Linked DNA regions of Saccharomyces cerevisiae S288C. The gene in region 3 interacts genetically with the main gene of each other region. Each region holds a gene or a part of one and is shown on either strand. Other genes may lie near its edges.

What was found.
Region 1: mutations in GRE1 (region 3) and YJL163C together harm fitness more than expected from each alone (negative genetic interaction), as found in Saccharomyces cerevisiae (2 studies listed by BioGRID).
Region 2: mutations in GRE1 (region 3) and CYC1 together harm fitness more than expected from each alone (negative genetic interaction), as found in Saccharomyces cerevisiae (2 studies listed by BioGRID).
Region 4: mutations in GRE1 (region 3) and ETP1 together harm fitness more than expected from each alone (negative genetic interaction), as found in Saccharomyces cerevisiae (2 studies listed by BioGRID).

Annotation. Positions count from the first base shown.
Region 1 is NC_001142.9:111,069-115,271, forward strand, and holds YJL163C (uncharacterized protein), read right to left. Parts: upstream 2,266-4,203; coding exon 598-2,265; downstream 1-597. Other genes in the region: cAMP-dependent protein kinase catalytic subunit TPK1, read right to left, coding at 1-91; JJJ2 (Jjj2p), read right to left, coding at 2,810-4,203.
Region 2 is NC_001142.9:524,517-527,273, reverse strand, and holds CYC1 (cytochrome c), read right to left. Parts: upstream 940-2,757; coding exon 610-939; downstream 1-609. Other genes in the region: UTR1 (NADH/NAD(+) kinase), read left to right, coding at 1-390; ANB1 (translation elongation factor eIF-5A), read left to right, coding at 1,893-2,366.
Region 3 is NC_001148.4:128,116-131,134, forward strand, and holds GRE1 (Gre1p), read right to left. Parts: upstream 1,024-3,019; coding exon 517-1,023; downstream 1-516. Other genes in the region: FMP40 (Fmp40p), read left to right, coding at 2,047-3,019.
Region 4 is NC_001140.6:81,300-85,242, forward strand, and holds ETP1 (Etp1p), read right to left. Parts: upstream 2,423-3,943; coding exon 665-2,422; downstream 1-664. Other genes in the region: ribose phosphate diphosphokinase subunit PRS3, read right to left, coding at 1-317; YAP3 (Yap3p), read right to left, coding at 2,769-3,761.

The DNA.
Region 1 (4,203 bases), on a different chromosome or scaffold from region 3:
CCCTTTCACTAGTCTCACCTTTTTGTGATTCCTCACCTTGTCTATCATCTAGAGACTTTTGACCACCTCCATTTTGTTCTTCAGTCGACATACCCAAAAAAAAGATTCTTTCACACAATCAGCTATAATTCATGCACTGCTTAAGCTAAGAGAACACTACTTTCTGTGCTACCTTTGAAGCCGATTGAAAATGCAAGCAAGCCAAACAAAAAAAAAAGTATAGGGTCAGATTCCTTAGCTTTATCAAATTAAAACTCTTAGATGGATACAATCGCAGCTTCTATGATGTTTCGCACCTAAAAATTCTCACGTTTTTCTGGCCAGAGATAGTAGATGAATATTTTTCAAGTTTTCAAGTAAAGGGATACGATATCCCCCTTGATTATTATGTCAAACTTTTACCAGATCCCGCCTTCCCTCCCCCCTAATAGCGCGAAAAAAAAGATCATCATGATTACGTAGAAAAAACCACAACAACACTATGTTGAATCATGTCATAAGCAAAGTCGTTAGGACACTGGCTTTGCAAGAACGAATAGCAGCACAGCTTCGAACAAGTAACTAAAAATATGTGGTGTATACGGTATGTAAATGTTTTTAAGGCCCGTCCAGCGGAGGGTTCTTGTAAATTCTTAGGAAGAATGTCAACAAGATGGCAACAATACTTGTTGAGAACGGTATATACATAAACAGACTAGGATTAACGGAGACAGTACTTCCATATAGCTTAAGGAGGATGGGAGGGATGACAAGCATAACACAGGACCTTACCAAAGCCATTGCTCCGAACATCTCGCCTGTATGTTTCTTAGAGGTGTACTTTATGATACCAGACTGCAAAGTTGGTGAACAAAACGCGCTCAATGCCTGTAAAAGAGCGAATATTATCATGGATGTGGGAGTTTTCTCGCCAAATCGTATCATGACAAAGAGACTCAGTGTTATAACAATCATAGAAAACTGTATGCAAAAGATGTCTATCTTGTCTATCGAATGGTTCAAGTGTTGATAAATCCTCTTTAGCGTGTACAGTAATGTAGGTGATACGACCAGTAACACAACACCTCTTCCGATACCCAGTATCGATATGAAATAACCTAGCTCTACTGCATGCCATTTGTACTCATATGTAGAAAACAAAATCAATGCTGGCATACACGATGTCGTTCCACAGACAAATAGTATATCGAGTACAATGAGTAATATTACGGTATGCCGGGGTACTAAAGACCCTGCACTGTCGGGCTTCAGCCATAACTTTTTTACTGGAGCGAGCAGGTCCATTAACCTCATTATTTGAAATTTTCCATAAGTAACGGATTGGTAATTTCTTGCATCGTCAGAACCCGATTGTGATCTTAGTTTCTCTCTCCTCTTTGTATAAGTTGATTGTGAATGGGCCATTTGGGTTTCATGGCGCGGTTCCACCATGATTGTCTCACATATTATAAGCGCCAGTATAACAAACGCTATTGATGTGTAAATAGGAATGAACCCGTTTCCATGAGTCCACTTCACCAGAAAGGACCCAAACATTGGGCCTACGCCCATAGTGGCATATATACAACTCATCATTATTCCTATTGTCACCATTCTGTGCTCAGTTTTCACTATATCTGAAACGTAACTATTTCCATTCGCCACTAGCGCAAACAAGCCACCGAATGATGGTACGATACACGCAGTAAGAACAATAGCCCATTTGTGATACTTCATTTTCGATGATAGGGTAAAGACGTGCGTAAGAAGCCCTATGACCCTGATGCCGCTCATGTATTTGAAAACACGCACTCTTCCTATTCTATCGGATAATTCTCCCCACTTACCAGCCATGAAAATACTGATTGCCCCTGCTATCATCATAGTGGATGAAGAAATGCTGGAAACTATTGTCTGTACAGCCACGGAATCATAATGTCCATTCTCATCTGAAATTCCTTCCGCTACCTTGTCCATCACCAACGGTATTGTAGCAGTCATAGAAATAGACTCCGCAATACAGATAATCATAACAAGGCCGTAAAGGCATAATAGTTTTCTACGTCCATGCTCTCCCTCAACGCTTTTGGCAACACTCAAAATACTGGGGGAGCGCCGGATAGAGTCATAGCTACTGTCCTGAGCTGTTTCATTAGTATCCAAATTTATTCCAGTACTGTCATTTTGACTAATGATTTCTTCCAAGGCGTTGATCCCAGCCGTTTCCAATAAATAGTCCATCTCATCTGAAGACATTAAACGAGTTGTTTCATCCTCGTTTGACATTGTTCTGCGCCTTTGCTTCGCACGGTTTGAAGATGTATACGTGAAATGCAAGAACTAGGGTTTGTATTCCTTATAAGTCTATTAGACTTCTTGCAGATCAGCCCTTCATCTTGTTGGTTTTTAGGAATCCCTTACCCTTTATTTTTTTTTTTTTTGATTTCGATTAAGGGCGGGAAATCATGATAAACTTCCACGGAACAACAATAAACGCTCGGCCAATGTTAGTAAGATACACTGTACTTACCTGATGATAATCCCATAGCACTTTCATTCACTTGGAAGCCAAACCAGTTTATAAGTACTTTTAAATTGCCAAGTGCACCCTTTGGTAATTTTTTTTTACTTTTACCATTTTCTGTAAGAATTTTCTATTTATTTCAGTAGTTTATTGAATTTCCATAACTAAATATATATTTAAGATATTAATAATTGAGACATGAAATGTACTGACTAGATACTTTTATATATTTTACATTATTCATTCAAATTATTTCCATCCTGGCGTAAGGACGACGGGTATATGCTCATTAAGAAGAGCGTTCGATTATACTTTACCGTCACATCTTTCGGAAAAAATTTTAATGACCTGCATCTGTCTTTCTTGTAAGATGTTCAATTTGTCCATTAAACTTTTATCAAATTCTAGGTATGTTTTCCAAACCATAATACTTTGCTTTTGGGTTAACATATCACTGAACTGCGTATCTGCTCTCAGGCGCTGTAATGATACTTGATGTATTGTTTCTTTAAGTTTGTTACATTGGTTATTAAACAGCTGCACGTTAAGCTTCAATGTTTCAAGGTCAGCCACTGCATCAAATTCCGGAATCTCTGGTATTTCCAAATCTAAGATCTCGGGTGTAATTCCACACTGTTCTAGTAACGGTTTGAATTTTGCACGATTACTTTCTGCTTGGGCAAAAGTTCCACCTTGTTCGTGACTCTGAGTGGTCTTCGGCTTTTTAAAAAGATTGATTGATTCTAACGAGTCATTAATTGCATCCATCATAAAATAATCTTTTTCTCTTGGTAAAGATTGGAACAATTCTTCTAAAGATATATCATCTTTCTTTCTCCTTTTCATCCCTTTAGGTTCTTTGATAGATAAATTTTCTATGTCGATTGAGTCGCTGTGATTTTTATCACCTATTTCATCCCGACGAAACAGCAAGTCTTTATTTCGATCGTCTACATTGCTTATATTGAGTTTTTCAATAATGTCTCTCAAAATGTTCCATCCTTCATTGGCACTAGTTGTTGCAGGTATCTCTTTAATGGGAGAAACTGACTTTCTAAACTGATTCTTGCATTCGAATTTACTTCTTGCGTAATGTCGATACTCATGATTGTAAAAAGGAGATTGCAAATTTGAATCATGGGATCCACTAGAAAAAGTACTGGTCTTGGGCAATTTAAATTGTTTGTGTCCCGTTTCTTCTTCGCCATTTTCCTCTGGAGAGACTCTGCTTTCCCTTTTCGGTTCTTTATTATTTTTTTTTTCTTCATCAGGACTGCTAGACTTCGACGTCATTCCATAATGTTGCTGCTGTTGCTGTTGTTGCTGCTGTTGCTGTTGTTGTTTTCCTGCTTCTTCTTCTTCTTCATGATCGCTTAGTGCTGATCCCAAACATGAATTTGGATCTTCAGAGTAAGATTTATGTGTGTACGCATTTTTACCCAATATTTCCCATATTTCTTGGAACTGAGAGTTCGTATCCATTTTACCGGCATCAGTCATTCTTACTTTTGAGGCTCCATTGGTTTCATGGAACAAAGAATCAATATCAGGACTTCCATGTTTCCTTTCCTTTTTGGATGAATAATAGTGGTTTCGTTGGTAGCTTTTTAAATTGAAGGACTTGAATATCGGAACCTTACTCTTAGAGCTTGAGGTCATTTTTTTGCCTACACCGAAACCGTAGGGCTGTTGCTCATAAG
Region 2 (2,757 bases), on a different chromosome or scaffold from region 3:
GGGAAAGATAGAATTGAATTGCAAAAAGGTGATTTTATAACCATATGCGCCAGCCCATATGCTTTTCCAACCGTGGAAGCCTCGCCCGATGAGTTTATTAACAGTATCAGTCGACAACTAAACTGGAATGTGAGGGAACAACAAAAGTCCTTTACGCATATTTTGTCCCAAAAGAACCAAGAAAAATATGCACATGAGGCGAACAAAGTCAGAAATCAAGCAGAACCTTTAGAGGTAATAAGAGATAAATACTCTCTGGAAGCAGACGCTACTAAGGAAAACAACAACGGAAGCGATGATGAGAGCGACGATGAGAGTGTAAACTGCGAAGCTTGCAAATTAAAGCCTTCGAGCGTCCCAAAACCTTCTCAAGCAAGGTTTTCAGTATAATGTTACATGCGTACACGCGTTTGTACAGAAAAAAAAGAAAAATTTGAAATATAAATAACGTTCTTAATACTAACATAACTATTAAAAAAAATAAATAGGGACCTAGACTTCAGGTTGTCTAACTCCTTCCTTTTCGGTTAGAGCGGATGTGGGAGGAGGGCGTGAATGTAAGCGTGACATAACTAATTACATGATATCGACAAAGGAAAAGGGGCCTGTTTACTCACAGGCTTTTTTCAAGTAGGTAATTAAGTCGTTTCTGTCTTTTTCCTTCTTCAACCCACCAAAGGCCATCTTGGTACCAGGAATATATTTCTTTGGGTTAGTCAAGTACTCTGACATGTTATTTTCGTCCCACAACACGTTTTTCTTGATATTGGCATCTGTGTACGAATACCCTTCAGCTTGACCAGAGTGTCTGCCAAAGATACCATGCAAGTTTGGACCAACCTTATGTGGGCCACCCTTTTCCACGGTGTGGCATTGTAGACATCTAGTCTTGAAAAGTGTAGCACCTTTCTTAGCAGAACCGGCCTTGAATTCAGTCATTATTAATTTAGTGTGTGTATTTGTGTTTGTGTGTCTATAGAAGTATAGTAATTTATGCTGCAAAGGTCCTAATGTATAAGGAAAGAATATTTAGAGAAAAGAAGAAAACAAGAGTTTTATATACATACAGAGCACATGCATGCCATATGATCATGTGTCGTCGCACACATATATATATGCCTGTATGTGTCAGCACTAAAGTTGCCTGGCCATCCACGCTATATATACACGCCTGGCGGATCTGCTCGAGGATTGCCTACGCGTGGGCTTGATCCACCAACCAACGCTCGCCAAATGAACTGGCGCTTTGGTCTTCTGCCATCGTCCGTAAACCCCGGCCAAAGAGACCGGAAAGATCGGTGAAAACATCTTGATCTTGCTCCCGGGAATTTTAGATTCAGGTAGGAAATTGATTACATCAATACTGTTACCCTGAATCATATTCGACGATGTCGTCTCACACGGAAATATAATTCATTTCTTGGTTTTCCAAAAAAATTTTCATTTTTTTTCACTTTTTTGTTTCGTCCTCCTTTTTTTTTTTTTTTTTTTATTTTTTTTCCTGTGTTCACCTTTTTTTTTTTCAGTTGACATCTTTCTGCATTCTTTTCTGTGTTTTTTTTTTTTTTTTTCGTTTTTCCATTGTTCGTTCGTTGCCTGTTTTTTCGCCCTATTGTTCTCGAGCCTAAAAATTTTTTCCTTTCCTGCTTTCCTTTCTTCGTTCAAAGTTTCCTATTCCATTGTTCTCTTTGGTAAACTCATTGTTGTCGGAACTCAGATATATTCAGGTCAATTTACTGTACTTCAATTGACTTTTTTCTTGAAATTTCAACTTGCCTTTTCAACTTGTTCTTCTTTTTTAATCTTATTCTACACTTTAGTTCCCTTACCTTGTTCCTAATTATTGTCTAGCAAAAAGAAAACATACACCTATTTCATTCACACACTAAAACATGTCTGACGAAGAACACACCTTTGAAAATGCTGACGCTGGTGCCTCCGCCACCTACCCAATGCAATGTTCTGCCTTGAGAAAGAATGGTTTCGTTGTCATCAAAGGTAGACCATGTAAGATTGTCGACATGTCCACTTCCAAGACCGGTAAGCACGGTCACGCCAAGGTCCATTTGGTTACCCTTGATATCTTCACTGGTAAGAAGTTGGAAGATTTGTCTCCATCCACTCACAACTTGGAAGTTCCATTTGTCAAGAGAAGCGAATACCAATTGTTGGATATTGATGATGGCTACTTGTCCTTGATGACCATGGACGGTGAAACCAAAGACGATGTCAAGGCACCAGAAGGTGAATTGGGTGACAGCATGCAAGCTGCTTTCGATGAAGGTAAGGATTTGATGGTCACTATCATTTCTGCCATGGGTGAAGAAGCTGCCATCTCCTTCAAGGAAGCTCCAAGATCTGATTAGATATTTTAGATTTCTATAGCTTACAAAATACGCGATGTTTTTTTGATCTAGAAATCTTATTTATACATTTTATATAATATTATAATAATCATAATCATAATTATTCATCCTAACTAACTTCGTTCTGTTTCAGCTACGAAGTTGCCTTCATTATCGCTACGTTCGTGTTAATTGGTGTTTGATACCATAGTCACTTATGACGACGTGCAGAACTTTTTTTTTTGACGGATATTTTCCCCTCAATATGCCGAGGATGATTACTTTATAATTTGCCTTCTTTCGGTTCCTTCTTCTTTTTAATTTAGCTGACGGGAACATGTGTATATACCCCAGAAGAATTTAAACAGAAATTTTTTTGAGCATTTTACGAAAATATTAAAAACTAGGGCTA
Region 3 (3,019 bases):
AAGTAATTGCTTACACGTTCTAGAATAAAAAAGTATGGTTGTAAGAACGCACTTGAAAAGGCACCAATCTGCTCGGGTTTTTACAACTAACACTAACCTAGATGAGAGGTAAAAAGAAATCGTAAAAAAAAGTTGTTGCCCAGCACAATAACGACACTTTACCCGCTAATTCCAGGAGGTTTGAGTTAGACAACGACCTTCCCACCCCGTTTTCCCATAATTCTATTGTTATACACCTGGATCTGGAGGTCCGTGAAACGGCATACCTCGACGAAAAAGGTCACTACTAATCAAATCAAACTGACATTAATAAAAACGTATAAACTGACAGCTGTAGATCTAAATAAACTAGATTAAACATATGAAATAGTTTGTAAAAAGTGGCATCATGACCAATAATAGGTCCAGATGAAGAAAAAAGAAAAAAGAAGACGAAATTAGGGTAAAATTTCTCACTTGCTGCTCAAGGGTGAGACCCGCACCTCAGGCATGTAATAGAAGCTTCGACCACCGCATCTACCAGACGCCTTGGTTCCCACTATCATCATCATATTCATCGTTTCCTGACCCAGACAGATCGCGTCTACCGCTGCCGATATTAGAGGATTGGTAGCGGTTACTTTGAGCACCTCTTGTACGACCTTGTTTTTGCTGTTGGCCCGAAGTCAAGAAGTCATCGTCTTCATCGTCGTCCAACTGACCTTGAGTGTTAGTTTCGCGGTAAGTTTGGGTATAAGTGCCACCACCAGTGCCGGCAGTGTAGTCAGTAGTTTGTTGCTGGAAGTCGTTACCGCCAAACTGCGTGTTACCGCCTAGATTAGACTGTGGCTGCTGGCGTTGAGGGAAATTCCCTTGGTTTTCTTCGCCGTAGGGATCGGCCTTGGATCCTTGATTCCTGAATTCCCTCTGTTGATGTTTTTCATGACGCTGTTGTCTAGTCTGGTCGTCATTGTCGTCTTCGTAACGTTCATCATGATCGTTGCCGTGCAACTTATCAGCAAACTTGTTTAATAGATTGGACATTTCTTAATTGTTATTCGTACTTAGCTTTTATGCGGTAGTGTTTGGCTCTGCTGCTAGTAGATATTAAGAGTTGAGGGTAGGTATGTATCCTTTTTTTGATGAAATAGTAATGTGCTTTTATAGTCCAAGAAATATTGACTGCTTCAAGGGAGCCTGATTAACAAGCACGTAACGGAGACCAAAAAAAGGATTTCGGTCTTTTCTAACCATTTCCCTTTACTCCCTTGTGCGTTATTTGTTTTGATTACTAGGCATGATGTATGGAGGAACTTGCGATCAAATGTCATAAAAGTGGAGGAGTGAAAAGAAATGACGAAGCCCAAAACGTGGTCCTAGAATTACCACATTTCCTTTTTCTAAAGGAAGCCAGACTATGCTTTACGCAAGAACTGTGGTTAAAGAGGGATATTCTGATGAACATAAATTCATACACATTCATGAGAAGCACGACAAGGATTGGTTAATTACTTACAACTAAGGCAAAACTGCCATTGACCTCATCTGTACCACCACATGCTGTGTAGTTATTTTCCCTTTGTGATCCCTAAAAAAGATGGGATCTACACACCTTACAAGAACATCCTCAAACCCATACCTGGAACCACTGAACATATTCTTCCCGTGAAAGGCTCTACGGCGAAACTACTGTAATGTCACAGGAAATTAAGGATGCTTCGACTATGGAACGGACCATACATGGGGACCCGATGTATAGAAAGCCTCAATGAGGCAAAGAGTCTAGCTCCTTTAAGATACGTAATTCTCCTTCTGTTTTCCCTTAATTATTCGGGTGAAATACCACATGGTCGCACGGCTGACGGGGAACTCCGGAATTGGACGATGAAGAACTTAACGGTGATATGAGGTGATCGTGGAACAAAACGTTGTGCCAAAGAAGCCACAAATACGTCACTGTAATTATTCTGCCTGCATAAAAAGAGCCATCAAGGATAAGCTAGAGACTATACTCCGGAAGTAGAAGAAGGAAGGTGTGAGAAAGAAGATAGAGCGTGTAACACAATCATGGGGGAAAAAAGGACAATAATCAAAGCGCTGAAAAACTCTGCAGCGTCCCACTTCATCAAGAAGTTGACCGCAGATACTTCCCTGTCGTCCATACAAGAGGCAATAAACGTCGTGCAGCAGTACAATGCAACGGATCCCGTGAGATTAAAGCTTTTCCATACGCCTCGGATGGTTTCGCAGGGGGCTCATTTTGCATTTTGTTTGCCCACTAAGAAACCACATTACAAGCCATTACTGCTTTCGCAAAACGCACTTGATGAGTTTAATTTGGTGCAGGATCAGGACTTGGAGAAAATACTATCCGGTGAGAAAGTATATTATTCCGATAGTATCTTTCCCTATAGTACAGTGTACTCCGGATTTCAATTCGGCTCATTTGCTGCACAGCTGGGAGACGGACGTGTGGTAAACTTGTTTGATCTTAAGGACAAGTGTAGCGGACAATGGCAAACGTTTCAGTTGAAAGGTGCCGGTATGACGCCATTTTCTCGGTTTGCAGATGGGAAAGCTGTGTTAAGATCAAGCATACGTGAATTCATAATGAGCGAGGCGTTGCACAGTATTGGAATTCCATCCACAAGAGCTATGCAATTAACTCTGTTACCGGGGACGAAGGCGCAAAGGCGCAATCAAGAACCGTGCGCTGTTGTATGCCGTTTTGCGCCCAGCTGGATCCGCTTGGGTAACTTCAACCTATTCAGATGGCGGCACGACTTGAAAGGGTTGATCCAACTATCAGATTATTGCATTGAGGAATTGTTTGCTGGGGGGACCCAATTTGAGGGGAAACCCGACTTTAATATATTCAAAAGGGATTTTTTTCCTGACACTGAGACGAAGATTGATGAGCAGGTGGAAAAGGATGAAACTGAGGTGAGTACCATGACCGGAGATAACATTTCCACATTGAGCAAATATGATGAGTTTTTCAGACATGTAGTTAGCTTGAATGCAAACACAGTGGCCCATT
Region 4 (3,943 bases), on a different chromosome or scaffold from region 3:
GACTTATCCTTTCTATCTTGTCTTGCATATGGGAAATTTGGAATAATAGCAGTGATTCTTCTTGCAGACGCAGTCTTCGAAGCATTGATCATGATCAGTAGTTCTAGAACACGATCGTTCACGACACCAGAGCCAATTTGCGTGATGATAAAGATATCTTGGTCCCTAACAGATTCTCCAATAGAAAAGGAAACCTCACCGGTTGGATCTCTCTTTAGTTTGCTGCTTGTTAACTGTAGACCTAGCCTTTTGGCAACAAGTTCAGCTAAACCTCGGTGGACATCTGGTGCTAATAATTTGATGGAATTTGTTGGCATTTTGTAATCCTAAGTGAATATATGAGGCTCAGTTTGAATGGGTAGGTTCGTTTATCCTGCGCTGGCAAAGTACGTAGAAAAAAGAGTATGAATCTTTCTTAGATATATTCAAGAAAAAGTAAGTAAATAAGAGGGTACGTGATTATAAACAGATACGAGTTTAGCGAATAATACCGTTCGCAATCATAACTTTATAAAACTCATCCTATTACTTACTATTCGACTGGAAAATTTTCGCAGGCAAAAAAAAAAAAAAAAAAAAAAGAAAAGAAAAATCGATGAGCCTGCCGTACACAGAGATATAATAAATTTAGAATGCAAGAATGGTATGGCGGTGATGAAGATAATCATTTCCCTGCTTTTTTATTTTTGTTGCGCTTCTTCTTGCTTTTGGATGCCTGTGCTGCCCCATGTGGTTGCTGTATTAGGATGGTACCTTCTTTTACACTCTCATCAGCGTCTTTGAATTTTTCTTGAGAATCTAGATAAAACATTAGGTCCTTGACTTGCTCTTCCAAATCTTGTTTAGACTCTTCTAACGCTTTGTTTTCTCGCTCTAACTGCTCTTGTTTTTTTGATAAGTGATCTAGGTTCGCTTGTAGTCCTTCGATTACTAACATATCTTCCTCAAGCTTAGATTTCTGGGCCATTTCCCTTTTCTGCCACTCCTTTTGAGTGACCTGAAATTGGAGTTTCAAATCTTCCATAGACTTCTTCAAACTTTCAACATTCGAAGAATCAGACGCAGTTTGATCTTTTTCTTGTAATTTCAGTTCATAATATTCTCTTTGAGACTCTAATTGAGATATTAGGACTTGCACATATTCTAGATGATACTCCCTATGCCTTAAAAAATTTGCCGCCAGCTCGCCATCTTTTTTATTAGAGTTCGATTTCTCACCGTTTTTGCTCCTGTTCCCGTAAACAACATTTTGTAGTTCATCGGAGTTGCCTATATCATTGTTGTCATCGTCACCGGAGCCGCCGACCTCTACTAACTTCCCATCAACTTCATTTTGAACTAGGCGATGGACATAATTATCACCCGCATAATCCCACACTCTTTGTGTCCGTATATCCATCGCAAAACAATGTAAAGTTTCTTCATAATGCTTGATTGCGTGTTTGGAATTGTAACGACCGCATCCAACATTACCGCAGATCAAGCAAATCCATAGATTATCAGTGGAACCACATGTTGCACAATGTGCGGAATCACCTGCCTGTTTCAATAATGATTCCCTGCTTAGCCGCAGACTTGAATGTCGACACACTGGACACCTTGAATTCTTCCACTTATTTAAGCATTGGCAATGAAAAGTGTGCTGGCACGGGATCGTTACTAATCCAGTAGTTTCTGAATCCATTCTTTCAAGGCAAACGGGACATGTGGGGAGTTCGACTTTTACCAGTTCCTTTTTTTTCTTAACAGTGAATGGATCAGTAAGCAGATAGGGGAAGTCCTCGTTAGCGGCTGGTCTTTGGAAGAGCTTTTTTTGAAAAACTATTTCTTTTACAGAGATCACATGGCATGTTTCGGGATCCATCCTGCTGAAACTTTTGCCATTGAACTCTTCCTTGAAATTTTTCGCATCAAGTGCATTCCTGAATTTAATTAAGACCGTGAAATTAAAACCCATTCCCTTCTGCTGATTTCGTAATATACGAAAGTTTGAAACTTGCTTATTAACAATATCATCACCAATATAAAAATGCAATAAATCGTGAACGGTAAAATAAGTTGGAACAAACAGGATACATATCATAGTATCATCTCCCGGGATAGTCAAAATCTCCTTCTCATTAAGAGTATTATTGGCATTGCTTAGCTTGAATAGCCTTATTATCCCATGGCCTAAGTATTGTGAAGTAATCAAATCACTTTCCTCTTCTTTTGATGTTTGATTTTTGAAATCAGTTATCATGTCTATTTCCAAGTCACAGACTCTCCAATCCTGCCAGTCTTGATTATTACTTTTAATACTTTCTTCCCCGATACTTTTTGCCTTCAACTTTTTCGGAATACTCTTGAAAATTTGATAAGCGGATTCAACCTGATTTTGGTTTCCAAATTCTAAAGTAATGATATACTCAAATTGATCCATAGATGTGAGGGCCAACCAGAAAGTAATACATTCAATGCTACTATTCCGTTATTGCCTCTATGTGTTTTCCTTTGAACTTTTACTTAATCCGCGGGTGAAATTTCATTTTTATATTTTCCATTTTATAACAGGCCGTCCCCTAAAAACACCGCGTAAGAACATAGTTTATACACTTATATAAGTAAAAGGTGTAGTAGGTTGGAATGGTAAAGGGCGTATTGTGTGTCAATTATGCGATGAAAATGTATACTTCGAAGTCAATAAAAAAAGAACCTGGTTTGCCTCATGAAGATGTTGCCTGCCCTTTCTTATTTAGTGTTTGTAAGTTATTTTTGTCAAAGTCTATTCATTCATTCAAAGTAGCTTCCTCCACTAGAAAATCGATTAAACTTCTTGGATACGCAGGTCCATGGGTATGACAACATTCTTGTCCTTGCAATTTGCTCATAACGTATGTCACATCAAAGTCCCTCTCTTCTGAAAGTTTGTAAAGATACTCCCAGGTGGCGGGGACTGTTAGTACATGTCTTCCTGCTTCGTCAGTATACTGGGTATTTCGCTTCATAATTTCATTATCCTTTAGCGAATACTTGCCTTTGTGATTCAGTTTGCTTTCCAGGACCATAGAGGTAAAAAATTCATCTTTCGTTGGGAAAGAATATTTGTAGTTGGTATCATCTTCTATGTCCTTTGAAAAATTTTCATTACCACTCCGCAGTAGCAGTCTGTTCTCTGCGTTGATTTCAGTATTTGCCTTTCTTAGTTCCTCAATTTCTTTCAATAAACTTTGGCGGTTCCTTTCACTTTCTAACAATTTATCTTGTAATTCTTTCATTCTGGCTTCTTTTCTCTCTCTGAAGGCTTTTTGGGCGGCTCTGTTTTGAGCCTTTTTCTTTGCCTTAGAGTCATCTGGAACATTCTCATTATGAGCAACTGAGGGACTCCTCGAACTTGGAGATATACCATTATTTTTAGAAAAATAATTTGTATTACTATAACTATCATTATCATTATTATTGTTATCTGCCATAACATAGGTAGAGTAGTCGCCTGAAATAGGGGTTAGTTGAATTGCTTGAAGATCACTACCCTTAGGGAAAGATATGTTGTTCTGTAATAGCAAATCATTATTTGATCTGTCAAGGTTCAAAGCAGGACACTGGTCTTCCAAAATTGGGAAGGGTGCTGTTTGCTCGCTCAATAGGTCTGGTTGTTGTTTTATACATTTGCTATCTTCTTGGAATAGACTATTTCTGATACAACAATCCTCCTCTTGGCATTGAGGGTTAATAAATTTCATGAATCCGCTGGTATTATCATCCATATTAGAAGGCGTCATAACAATTGCTTCAGCCTTATTCTTCGTTAGTTTATACTGGAAGTAAAGCAAACACCTACTGCCCCTTTTATCGAAATGATAAACAAATAAGAAAGCTCAGAGGGCCTCCGGTAATATTCAAATCGATCTGTTTTATAATGCTTATTGAATAATAATGCCGTTGCTGTACTCTTAACATAAAG